3 linked regions of the Daphnia pulex genome follow. The main gene of each other region encodes a partner of the protein of the gene in region 3 in a complex. Links are inferred from orthologs where the notes say so. Each region holds a gene or a part of one and is shown on either strand. Other genes may lie near its edges.

Region 1 (4,294 bases), on a different chromosome or scaffold from region 3:
CAAAGTCGCTATGGAATTGTTTAATCAGTATTATTTCAATTTGGAAAAATGGGAAATTTAGATGTTTTCAAACTTACCGTAAGACTCTTGAGATTTTTTGAATCCCAACAAAGCCATTGTGCGAATATTTTGTTCGGTGAGGGAATTGGAAACCGTTTGGGCCGGGAAGTGGCATAACCAAGATAAAGCATAGTAGGCGTGAGCCAGGGGGACGCTACGAGGGAGGAACTCTGAGCGAATGGTTTCGGCATCTTCGGGACGCAGCTGAAGCTTCTTCTGTGTTAATATAAGCAACTGCTGTACAATCAGTACATCTCGACACAATTCCAACCTGCGAAAGTAACATCATTTTAATTTAAAAAGGTAATGAAACATTTTCTGAATTACTACCTTAAATCAGCCATCTGTCGGGATGATTCGGCTAATGCTCCCAATCCAAGACTTCCATTGAAAAGCAAACGAAAGGAACTTTTATTATTGAAGGAAACTTCGCCAAATTTGGGATCGCCTCCATTCATGCCGACGCTGAGCTGTTGGAGAAGAACAGACAAGGCCAGGCAAATGTCAACAGAAGACAAAGCCATTTGGACAGCGTTGAGCAAATTAATTGATTCGTTCTCCAGCAGTTCATCAGCAATATCCCTGGCAATTTGATCTGCACTTTCCAACTGAAACATTGATTGATCAAAGCGCTTTATTTGCTCCGTTGACAAACTATCGCTGACCACAAACAGAATCTGTAAAAGAACAAAATTCGTCAAAATCTATGTACACAACAAATAAAAGAAATGTTACCTCGAGCAGAGCAGTAAGGCCAGAAGTTGATTGCTGACCCCCGAAAAGCGAAGCAATTCCACTCGAAAATGGCTGCATATCCCAGCGACGGCCTCGTTGCAAAACCAAACTCTCAACCAGATCCAACGGACGCAAAAATGAAACCATTCCTCGTTTAAGTAGAGCATGGAAGCCAGTTTCGTCATCAATGAGTAAACCAACAGGAATTGGCCGCTTCAAATGATACTGAACAGCATAGGCGTAGAATTGGGCCCAGTATTTGGCCGAAAGTTGCAGATAAAGTTCTTCTGTCACATCATCTGCATCGGAAATCTGCTCTTTCAGTTCAACCTCGATAGCCATAATGATGTCTTCTTTTATATCTCCAGGTCTCCTCCTACTTGTCGATGCCGAACGATCAAAAGCTTGCAGAGCCTTACTCAAGGTTGAAATCGAGAATACGCCCGGTTTGAAAAGTGCCTGCATGTACGCTTGTTTAGGGTCAACGACGGTATCGTCGTATTCAATTTCCGAATCGACGCCAGGTTCCAACGCAACCTGTTGCCACTCTAGCAGGGTCGTTTCGGCGAATTCCAACAGATATTCACCCCGCGAAGTGCTCCATAGTGCATAAAGGTGATTTGAAGTCAGGCTGAAGTCGATTAAACGACTATGTTGTGCAGTAACGGATGACTGGAAATTGAGCTTGAGTGTAGGGCCCGTCTGTAGATCAATGAGAAGAAAAGATCTATTCTTGCCAAAGGACGAGAAGACGACCAGTTTGAAGTCGACGCCGTCAGGACACCACCGGATTCTGTGAAGAGAGCCAAGCTGCTTGACTGATTTGTCTCCGAAGAATTCAACCAAATCGAACTCCAAACGACACTCCTGGGTTGCTGCTGACCAAATTCGCAATTTCAAGCCTTTGCTGACGGCCAGCACAAGAACGTCGTCATTTGTCGGCAATAAACAAATGCTTGCCGTAGTATCTTCGTTTTCCTGTGATGAGCTTCCTCTTAACACAGTAGGCAGGTAACCAGAAAGTAAACGTGATAAATTTGAGGAAGGCTGCAAATTATATGTGGTAACTGCCGAAGGAGATTGACCCATACGAATGAGAGAAATCGACGAAGTGTTTGCCAAAGCAAACAATGCTTCTTTACTTTTTCCAGAAAAGTAAGATGCAGCAGTGCTGGGGAGTGAAAAATTGGTGGCGGTGCTGTTGATGACCTGGTGGCTCAATGATTCCCTCAACCAGGGAAGGGATGCTTCAGTAAAGATGGATGGTACAGAAATGTTGGTCCCCATTGAGTTGAATGCTGTAGGATCATTGTGTTTTTTTGGATGTGGTAGAACCAAACGATGAACTGAAGATATGGTGGAGACGAGAATAACTACATTATTTTTTGTTTCATGAATGGATGTCCCCTCTAATAATGGAAGGCCTTGAAATCTGATTCGAAGACAGTTGCCGTGTAAGTTCAAGTCTAAACTGTGTTCTACTAGCTCCAGGACATCATTGGAAATTTGCCTGTTCAAAACAAATAATACAGAATGAGTCTTACTTACAGCAGCATTTAAATTATGTAAATGATAGCTGTACCAGCATATGAAACGGTTCCGAGTGACAGTTGAATTGGAATCAGTGAAACAGTATCCTCCTGCTGTGCAACCTTCAGGTAGTTTAATATCTTGGAGTGTCAAATGAGTTCCACCTGGTTAAAACAGAATACAGGTCAGTGTTTAAGAAAAGCGACACCGTTTCGGTTGAAAAAGAAAGAACTGTAGCCGGTGTAGCTCAACAAGTTCACTTGAATTACCCGTATTCAGTAATAGTTCCTTCCATTGTTCTATGCCTGTCTGATCTGGAATTACTTCACGCAATCCGAGAAGAGAAAAGCCAGAAAGATTTCCTTTAAGACAACTAGACATGTTTTTAACTCGTTTCTACAGTTGCAATCGCGCGGGCAGCTGAGAAACAAATTCGTTTCAGACGAATCTAAATTTCCAAACCGGCAAACGGCAGAACTACATTTACCGTTCAGCGCCACCTAGCGATTGAAAACCAAACTCGTTGGTACACTAATTTTATGACAAAATTTGAGTTGAGGCAAAAAGAACGAGTATATTCACTAGCAGGCATGACGCCGTGTATTGCTACAAATTACAACACTGCTTTTGGAAAGCGGCATAATAGAATTCTCCACCAAGTGAATAACAAACATAATTAAATCGACAAAAAATGTTTTTAAAATTGTGGAAGAACAACACATGCGCTGAAGTGGGAAAACGCTAATAATATAATGTACGGGTGCGGCTGAAGGTGGGAAACATAAGTTTAAACTACTCTCTTCTTCTTTTTCCCTAGTAATAGAACTGCGTATATTTCGAATTCTGAAAAGCAACTAAGGACCCCGGGGCAACAAAAGAATTCAATCACAATTCTAAGTTCACAATGCGGTGATGCTTAGTTTCTGTTTATGTTCGATATTGTCCAGTTCATGCAAAACCTGAAAAGTGACAAAATGACCAAGTTAGTACATTAAATTCAAAAATTGTAATATTTATTTTTTTTTCATCACCTCGAGAATGGTGGCCATAGACCAGGCTTGAGCTGGACTCGAATCATTACAGACTTTGCCATTTTTATTGGTAAGCTCGGGAAGTGAGCGCCAGGGCGATTGTTGAATTTCGACAAAGTGGCGCGATAAAATAGACTTGACTTTGCGGATGGTTTTTCTGAGTTCGGAGACTCCGCCGACCAATGGAGCGAAATAAAGCATGGCTTGGAGTAGGAAACCAACTGGCCAGAGCCACTCGGGTCCTTGGTGGTAGTTGAAACCGTGAGCCGTGCTGGGATCATCTCCTTCGTCCGAATTGCAATAATCTGGTCGGTAGGACCAATCAGAATTGTCCAAAGTTGCCATGCCCAATGGTCCTAACAAGTGCTGAAGAGCCATTTGTAATGCTTGCCATGCTCTCGATGGTGTAAACATGGTCGGAGCCTTTAAACGTAAACGTAATGAAACAGTTAATGTGAGAAAGATAAAAATGATAGAAATCCGTTATTCTTACCACAGCCATGGCGACCACAAAGTTAGGTCTCAATTGATAATCAGCCCAGGGTTTGGATGCCATATAAGAATCTTTGTAGATGCCTCGACGATTGATAAGCTCAGGATGGGGTTCGGCCGTTGGTTCTGGATCGACATTAATCCAGAAATGTCGCTCAAAGTTGCGATCAATTTGACGAGCCCATTCGTCGTAAGTCCAGCGAGTCTTAGTTCCGTCTTCGTTAACCCGCTCGACGCCGGCGTACGGATAAGTTCCAGCTGTAAACAATTCCCACAAATATCCAACGACGGAGCGAGAAAGGCCAACGATCTCAACAGCAGAACCGTCACGAGGAGTTGCTGGTTCTCCCTTGTTACCGGCCTTAGCGCTTGATCCCATCTTGTCCATCCAAGTTCCGCAATTATGGGCGTTGCCACCGAAAACAAATCCAGTTTCGACGCTGACG
Region 2 (4,257 bases), on a different chromosome or scaffold from region 3:
AATTGGCTAATATTCTTACGAAAGTAAAAAATCAAATACGATCTACTAATTTTCAATTATGATATGAATCTAAAGATTTTTTTTTAATGAAATTTTTTTTCCGTGTATTAGACCCTTGAAAACAGTAAAATTCGTACTTAGTTGATGAAGAATATTTTCGGTCGCTATTTTAGTGTTTCAAAGCATTATCTAAAACAAGCAAATCATTAAAATCTTCTTTCAATACATTCATTAACTGAGCCATTCCTTCTTGCTGTGACTTAAGGACCTATAGGAACGAGATCATTCAAAATGAGACAAAGCTAACAAATTAACTTTAAAAATTGTGACAACTTCCTTACTTGTTTCAGATCATCCAAAACATTTGGTTCAATGTTGTACCTCTCAGTCATTCGTTCCGCTGGCGTAAAGGCAGATTGGCGCATTCTTATTTGCGAAAGCAATTCGTTTAAGCGACCCTGATGTTGACAGTGTAAAACATTATTCTATAAACTTAACATTTAATTAGAAAAATATATATGTTACTCGAAATTGCGTAGGGATGCTTAGTTCATTGTGCACAGACTCTAGCTGCACCCGCAAACGTTCCTCTTCTGGCTGTAGAGCAAAACCTTCTTTCCGAGAACATTCTTGCTTTATAAGAACTTTGAGGATTCGATGTTGCAAGTCGATGTATCGTCGTCGCTGTTCACTTAGCGCAACCGATGTTTCTGATGCACGAGATTGCAGGCTTGCTAATTCCTCAGCTAACTTGTCCAGGGTTCCTTGGTGTCGTCGAGTCTCTTTCTCCTGCAATGATTTATTTTTTTCAACTCAACTATTTGCGTAGTGTGAATAAGTTAAATATAGAAATGCGAACCTGTAGGTGTAAATGACGAACAAGGTCACCAAATCCGATCAGTGGTATGGGTATGAAGTTATCGTGATCAGGATTTTCTGATTGAGCTTGTTTCCAAATGCGAGCGTCAATCCCAGCTGGAGGCGATGCTAGATATTCGCGCAATTGTTCGGGTGATGGTCGGACTCTAGGAACACACGAAACGACTCCAAGTGCGCTGAGCTGACCACGAGCCGACTGCATCATCCCAGATGGTTGTTGATTCCAAAGGAAGTTAGACAATTCAATGGCAGGCACTTTATGAATTGCGCCAGTTGCTGAGCGTTCTTGAACACAAATCAAAACCTCTGTCTTATTTGTGTCTAGGCCAGACACGCCCTCGACGGACACATTCAGATTGGGTTTATTGCCCAGCGCCGTAGTTATCACACTGACTAACTGAGCTTGGTCTCGCCTGCAAATTGAATCCATAAATAAATCTATATGCAATTACGGTTTTTATAATTTTATCTACCGAATATCTGTTTCGGGTTTGTTAAACAGCAAAACAATTATTCCATCTTCATTCTTTCCTTGTGGTAGTTTGCTGTAGCCAATGGCTTTAAAGCGACACAATGAATTCTCTGCAGTATATTGGATAGCACTAGCCGTGCCAGAGTAAAATCCTAGACACCAATAACAATGTGAGTAAAATGAAGACATTCTAATATTTAAATTGAACCGCAATTAAGGTGGAGTCAAACCTTTTCCGGTTCCCCAAGCTGCTTGAAGGAGATTCCAACGAGCCAAGATTGCATCGCGCTCATCACCGTAAATGTTACAGTAAAGTACGGATGAGAGAACAGATTCGACAACAGTACCGGCTTGCTGAGCAGGAGCAAACGTTTGTTGTTGTTGTTGACCAAACAGGCCTGTTGTTGGGGCTGTACTTCCAAATGTAGTTCCCAAAGAAAAGCTACTAGAAGCTGGTGTTGTTATCCCGGTTCCTCCCAGAGATGTTCCAAAAGATCCAAATCCTAATACAGAAAAGTAGTCAAATAATTCGTTCCAAGTCATTCCATAAAAAAATATTACCTGTTCCAGAAAAAAGTCCGGACGACGATGAGACAGCAGGGGCTCCAGTGCCAAAACCGAATCCAGCGTTGCTTGTCTGTGGCTGCCCAAAGCTGAATGATGGAGCTCCACCAGTATTAGTTCCACCGAATCCGAAAGCAGGTGTAGTGGTATTTGTTTGTGTTGCACCAAATCCAAACGATGGAGCAGCTGTGCTAGTTTGGGTGGTACCAAATCCAAACGCTGGAGCACCTGAAGTAGGTTGGGTACTGCCAAAACCAAAAGAAGGTACTGTTGCAGTGGTGTTAGTTTGTTGAGAGCCAAATCCTGATGTTGAAGCAGAATTTTGAGGAGTTCCAAATGAAAAGGACTGATTTGCTGTGCTAACTTGCTGCACACCAAAGCCTCCAAATGGAGTAGTACCAGTCTGACCAGTACCTCCAAACAGCCCTCCTAGAAGTGAAAATGAGTCAAATGCATTGCAACACATAAGTTTAATTCTATAAAATTTTATTTGTTATCTCCTATTTCTATGATAAAATAATGAACAATTCTCAATCAGTGTTGTGCTTGAACAAAAATGATTGCAGCATTTGGTTGGACTAGAAAATGTAATCTCAAGAAAAACTAATAAACAGAAAATAAATGAAAAAGCCATGCATTGTAGCATGTTCAACAACGAAGGCAAAATGATTTCACTTAGATAATTATCATTCAAATATATAGTAATGCTGGAGTTGACACTAGTTTGTGTGTATTACCTGTGTTGGATGTAGTAGACTGGGCTGGTTGGAAAAGACTTCCACTAGAAAATGCCATTTCAAGAATAAGTTATCCTTACTTTCTTGTATAAATCTTATTTGGTATCTGTCTAATTGGTAAAAAAGTCGACAAGCCGATTTTCAATGATATCGTTAGCGTTCACGTTCAAAACTTGAAACTACATTTTTTCTGTGGAAGTAGCGAGAAGAAAGGAGGTATATGCCATCTAGCGGTTAACGATGAAGAACCAATCCTTTAACTTTGGCGGAAGACAGAAAAGCGAAAGTCCACCGCAAATATTTCTATTCCGTTCAACCGAAGAAATTTAAATCAACCTCGTCATTCCCGAAGGTCGTCCATTCTCTCCCCTTTTACACGCAAAAAATTAACACAAGAAATTGATCAGAAAACAAGTTTATTAATGATGATTTAACCAAGACAATTTGCATTACATTCCAATCAATTATTCCAATTTAAGAATGAGTGACGGTTGACAAACGAAATTAAACTGGACGGCAGGTCGTCGAATGGGATTCCATGACGGCTCACGACTTGGGCAGCTAAACATGTGAGGGGCCGCACTTTATGAATCAGTCTTTGAAGGGGGCCGTTCACATATGACGTCACGGGCCGAGGGGGGGGAGGGGGGTGCACCTTGTATGACGAATTGTGACGAGGGGGGGTAGGGGGGGTATTCACAGTGGGACGTCACAAGGCACTACACAAGCGCCACCAAGTGGGATATGTTGGCAACTTCCTAAATTTCTTTTAGTTTTTTGGATCGTTAGAGCAAAGCACCTCGTTTGCTTGACCAATTAAGAAAATAATGAACAACATTGTGTTCTGTATTAAAAACTACAGAAAATACAGAAAATAAAGAATTTTTAGGGGCTCAAACAATTTTTAAAAAGGGAGGGGGGTATCTGACTTTGTGACGTCATATTAGAGGGGGGGTATACCTACTGTGATGAATTGTGACAAAGGGGGGAGGGGGGGGGGTGTAAAATCGTCAAAAAGTCCGTGACGTCATATGTGAACGGCCCCAAGGTAAACATTTGAGATCCCGTTTTCAGCCAGTTCTTTTTCCTTTAGTTTAAAGAGGTCCAAAGGTGTTATGCCCACATCATCGGGCTGGTCGATATGAGCATCCGAGTCCAACAACTGTAACTGGATGGCGTCTATGGTGTTGATCGACCAGCGCTCCCATTCAATACTGGCCAGCACGTGAAGGGCCGTCATTCCGTTGGACGAGGTGGCACTTGGGTCGACTCCGAGTTCCAGTAACAATTTCATGACGTTTAGGGGAAAGAGTTTCGTTATAATTGTGTAGGAGCAGCAGGCAAGATGGAGGAGATTGCCCTTTTCGACTATTTTAAATCTGTAGTCGTCTCCAATGAAATTGTAGAGAGTCCGCTTGAATCGGTGAAGTTCTTGTTCATTCAGTGTTGGAAGGAGTTCAGTCAAAATGTCGATCTGGTCGATAATCAACCATTCGACTCCACCAGTCCATTCGTTTCCGATATAGTAGTCCAGCTTCACATGATGTTCCAAGGAATATTCCATTACGGTCATAATATTGGCGAAGGTGAACTCTTCTCTGTCGG
Region 3 (3,632 bases):
TGGCAGGCTGTTCGGTTTTGTTAGGCTCTCCAGGTTTGCTAGTCTCACAAGATGGACACTTCATCACACTAGGGTCGTTGCGCAAGAGGCAGCCCTGGCATTCCCAGGATCCTTCTTTGGGTTTAAACTTCTCACCGAACGTTTGAGGTTCTTGGCCTTTCATTTCTTTCGCTGCTTCGACTTTTTCAATACTGATGTCAGCAGATTTCTTCTGGGCTTCATCGAAAACGCCCTTGAACTTCTGGGCCTGATCCATGGTTTTGAACCTCAGTGCAAAGGTTTCCTGAACTAGTTCACCCTCAGAAAAATCTTGTGCAGACCATGTCCATGTACGGTCTGATGTCTGCAAAGGCTTCGGTGACAGCTGAGGAGTAATGTAATGGTTGCAACAGATTTTGAGAACCTGATCTCTTCTCATCAACAAACGAGCTCGGCCAGTGATTTTATGTTCCAAAATCTTCATTTCACCTCTTCCCTTTTCCTTCCACTCTTTGGTTTCAGTAACGTAGCGATAGAGGATGGCTCGATCGATAAATAACAACTTTTCTTCTTCTTCGCCAGTCGATACTTCAATTAAGGCAGGTAATGGGATTACTGGCTCAAAGACAACATTGGGTTCATAATGTTCTCCTTCATTTTCCTCTCCATCCTCCTCCTTGCTCGTATCTTTCGTCTTATCGCTCGGAGTAGTTGATCCGAAAAGTGGTGTTCCGGTTCCAGGGAACTCCTAGAATTTAAAACATGACAAGTCTGTTATATGAAATTGCACAAAATTACAATTGAAAATGTAGAAACATACTTTGTTTGGAGCAATGGTAAAACCGGTCGAAGACTGCTGTTGGGCTAACAGAGAAAACAGCATACCAGGTTCAGCCTTCTTTTCTCCAGCGTCTTTATTTGCAACGCCTCCGAACCCCCCAAAGGAGAAACCAGCAAATGGGCTAGGCTTGTCTTCGGATTTTTTCTCATCTGAAGGCGCCTTTGGTGCTAAAGCAGGAGTCGGATTGCTATTAAAAGAAAAGCCGGCGAAAGGACTAGGCTTGACTTCTTGTTTCTTTTCCTCCAATGGTTTTTCTGGTGTTACAGCAGCAGGAACCGGCGTGGAAAAGGAAAAACTTCCAAAAATTGGTTTAGTTTCAACTGCTGATTTGGGAGTCCCAAAAATTGAGCCAGGTAGCACGGAAGACGTCGGTGTTACTCCAGTTGTGGTTGACGGTGTCACTTTGGTGGTGACGTCGGTTTGACCATTAGTTTGAGCCGTGACTACGGCCGTAGCCAATTTGGGAGGTGAAAATGAAAATGGAGCTTTCGATACCACGGTTTCCGTTGAGGAAGACGGCAGAGCGAATGAAAAAGCAGGTTTGCTTCCTCCAAACGAAAACGCTGCAGAGCTTGATGTTACCGCAGCCGAGCTGGGCGTCGTCGTTACTCCAAAAACAGGTGTAGTTGTTGAAGTCGGTGTTGCGGCAGCCACACCAAACCTAATTGTAGCAGGAGCTGATGTAGTAACGGGAGTTGGAGTTGAAAAACTAAAAGAAGGCGCTGTCGAGGCTGGTGTTGTTGCGGCAGCTGGAACTCCAAACTTCATGCCACTAAACGCGGGAGCTCCAGTTGAAGGTGTTGATGAGAATGTAAATCCCGTGCTAGCAGGGGTAGTCGTTACCGTGGTAGTTTTGAACGCCGTAGGTGTTGTCGAAGCAACAGATGCTACAGAAGGCATTCCAAATTTCATTTGAGAGAAAGGAGTTGGGGCTGGTGCTTGAGCTTCTGTCCCTGGTTTGAGTGTTTCGCAGGATACACATTTGGTAGCTTCTGCCGAATTGTTGACATAGCACATTCTGCAAGCCCATGATCCACTTTTGGGAGCAAATTTGTCCCCAAATCCTTTAACTGGTGCTTCGCTAGCCTTTTTGTCTGTTGTAGTTGCAGTATCAGGCTTAGGTTTAACAACATCGGCTGTTTTGGCCTTTTCAAAGGCTTCTTTGAATTCAGTGGATATTTCTTGAGTTTTGAATTTGGCAGCAAATTTTTCCAGTTTTGCTTCGCCATCTGCAAAATCCATGGCGGCCCAGATCCACGAATTGGCTGAATTATTCATTTCGGATAATTTGATGTCCGCCGTAATTGTGTGATTGGCACAAATCTTGAAGACCTAGATAACAGAGAACAACAAATAATTAATCCTGCGATCATAGAAATAGAAACAACCCATCCTACTTGATCACGGCGCATCAGCAATCGAACTTTCTTCGTAGTCGGGTCTTGAAGAAGTTTTAGTTGGCCAACACCACGCTCTTTCCATTGGTTCTCGGCAAAACGGAAAAGTTTGGCCCTTTGATCGAAAAGTACGTCTTCACCTTCTTCTCCAGTCTTTACTTCCACTTCTTCCGGTAAAGGAATAATAGGTTTGAAATCTGGGTAGTTGTCAACCTCCTCTTCTGGAGCGTAGCTTCCATCAGAACAAGTGGATGCTTTGCGATCACGGGCTGATTTAGATTTATCCGGAGTGGTAACAGATGAAAACTCTGGCTCTGGGATATTGGCAAGCAGGCTTCGAGTAGAAAGCTGGATGGCTGGAGATAAAGTATTATCAACTATTTTCTCCGGTGTAGCCTGTGTGGGAACATTAATCTGATATGCGTGAGGAGCAGGGGCAGTGGAAGATGCTGAATAACCAGCTGCCGCTCTGCGGAGGGCCTCAGAAGCCGATTCCACGTCGTTTATGGGTGTTGGTGCAGTGCTGATTACGGTAGGTTGCTGTAAAGTTGCTGCAAGCAGTGATGTATCTTTTGTTCCAATTCGGGAAAAAACAGACGGAGCTGGGGGTTGGGCAGCAATCTGCTGTTGAATAGGTGGAGCAACCATCCCAGGGGGCAAATAAGTCGATCCTGGTGACGGAGTTGTAACTTGGTCCATTCCCCAATGGGGTATTCCCGGTGGATACGAATAAGTTGGCGTAACGGGGAAAGGACCTGGTGCACCTGGAACTCCTACGTACGGAAAGCCTGGATATTGCTGGTATGCAGAAGGGTGGAATGGAGCTCCATAGGTCGGTGGATATCCGTATGCCGGTCTCGTTGCAGGAGCAAATGGAGGAGCATACAACGGCATATTGATCTGGGGGGCAGAGGGACCAGAGCTCTTCAATTTTCCTTTCAATTTCACTAAATTATCGAGGTCGGTTTCTTCCTCCTCGTCTTCTTGTTCTTCCCAATCTTCCACGTCGCCATCTTCGTAGCATCTATCATCATAGGTCTCAGATGCCTTTTCAGACGACTTTTTCCGACTCTCTTTCACTTCATGTTTTGCTTGCATCTCAAGATGTGACTCCAATTTTTGTATCAAAGTTTTGATGTCCACGACTTCGGCCCGAATTTGTTTTAATTCAGTTGAAATTGCTTGGTTAAATTCCTCCTAAATATTCAATTGATACATTACATAAATGAATTGAAGGGACAACTGTTATGTCAAACTTACCTGTCGCTGCACCATTTGTCTAAGTTGAGCGTCCAAACGTTCGGGGCTAGGTCTCGCTTCAGCTCGTGTGCTTGTTTCAAGACGACTTGCAAGGGACGTTCCGTTGCGCATTGAAGTCATGTTCATCACGTTTCTTCGGTGTGGGGTGCTAGTAA

What was found.
Region 1: E3 SUMO-protein ligase RanBP2-like (region 3) and nuclear pore complex protein Nup160-like share a complex: the UniProt entries of both Drosophila melanogaster proteins name them as parts of the nuclear pore complex. The link is inferred for Daphnia pulex from reciprocal best matches to the Drosophila melanogaster genes Nup358 and Nup160.
Region 2: E3 SUMO-protein ligase RanBP2-like (region 3) and nuclear pore complex protein Nup54-like share a complex: the UniProt entries of both Drosophila melanogaster proteins name them as parts of the nuclear pore complex. The link is inferred for Daphnia pulex from reciprocal best matches to the Drosophila melanogaster genes Nup358 and Nup54.

The regions. Positions count from the first base shown.
Region 1 is NC_060017.1:6,360,004-6,364,297, forward strand, and holds the start of nuclear pore complex protein Nup160-like, read right to left. Parts: upstream 2,830-4,294; 5' UTR 2,707-2,829; coding exon 2,595-2,706; intron 2,490-2,594; coding exon 2,378-2,489; intron 2,306-2,377; coding exon 796-2,305; intron 738-795; coding exon 391-737; intron 332-390; coding exon 78-331; intron 9-77; coding exon 1-8. Other genes in the region: glycogen debranching enzyme-like, read right to left, coding at 3,225-3,284, 3,357-3,779, 3,850-4,294. UniProt on the Drosophila melanogaster protein: Functions as a component of the nuclear pore complex (NPC). Involved in poly(A)+ RNA transport. Required for nuclear import of Mad. May play a role in double strand break DNA repair. Essential for nephrocyte development.
Region 2 is NC_060022.1:6,652,559-6,656,815, forward strand, and holds the start of nuclear pore complex protein Nup54-like, read right to left. Parts: upstream 2,882-4,257; 5' UTR 2,711-2,881; coding exon 2,653-2,710; intron 2,345-2,652; coding exon 1,913-2,344; intron 1,855-1,912; coding exon 1,582-1,854; intron 1,504-1,581; coding exon 1,353-1,503; intron 1,293-1,352; coding exon 860-1,292; intron 790-859; coding exon 526-789; intron 459-525; coding exon 342-458; intron 269-341; coding exon 170-268; 3' UTR 1-169. UniProt on the Drosophila melanogaster protein: Component of the nuclear pore complex (NPC), a complex required for the trafficking across the nuclear envelope. Essential for the nuclear import of nuclear localization signal (NLS)-containing proteins in an importin alpha/importin beta-dependent manner.
Region 3 is NC_060024.1:12,890,301-12,893,932, reverse strand, and holds part of E3 SUMO-protein ligase RanBP2-like, read right to left. Parts: coding exon 3,478-3,632; intron 3,415-3,477; coding exon 2,218-3,414; intron 2,153-2,217; coding exon 800-2,152; intron 728-799; coding exon 1-727. UniProt on the Drosophila melanogaster protein: E3 SUMO-protein ligase. Component of the nuclear pore complex (NPC), a complex required for trafficking across the nuclear envelope.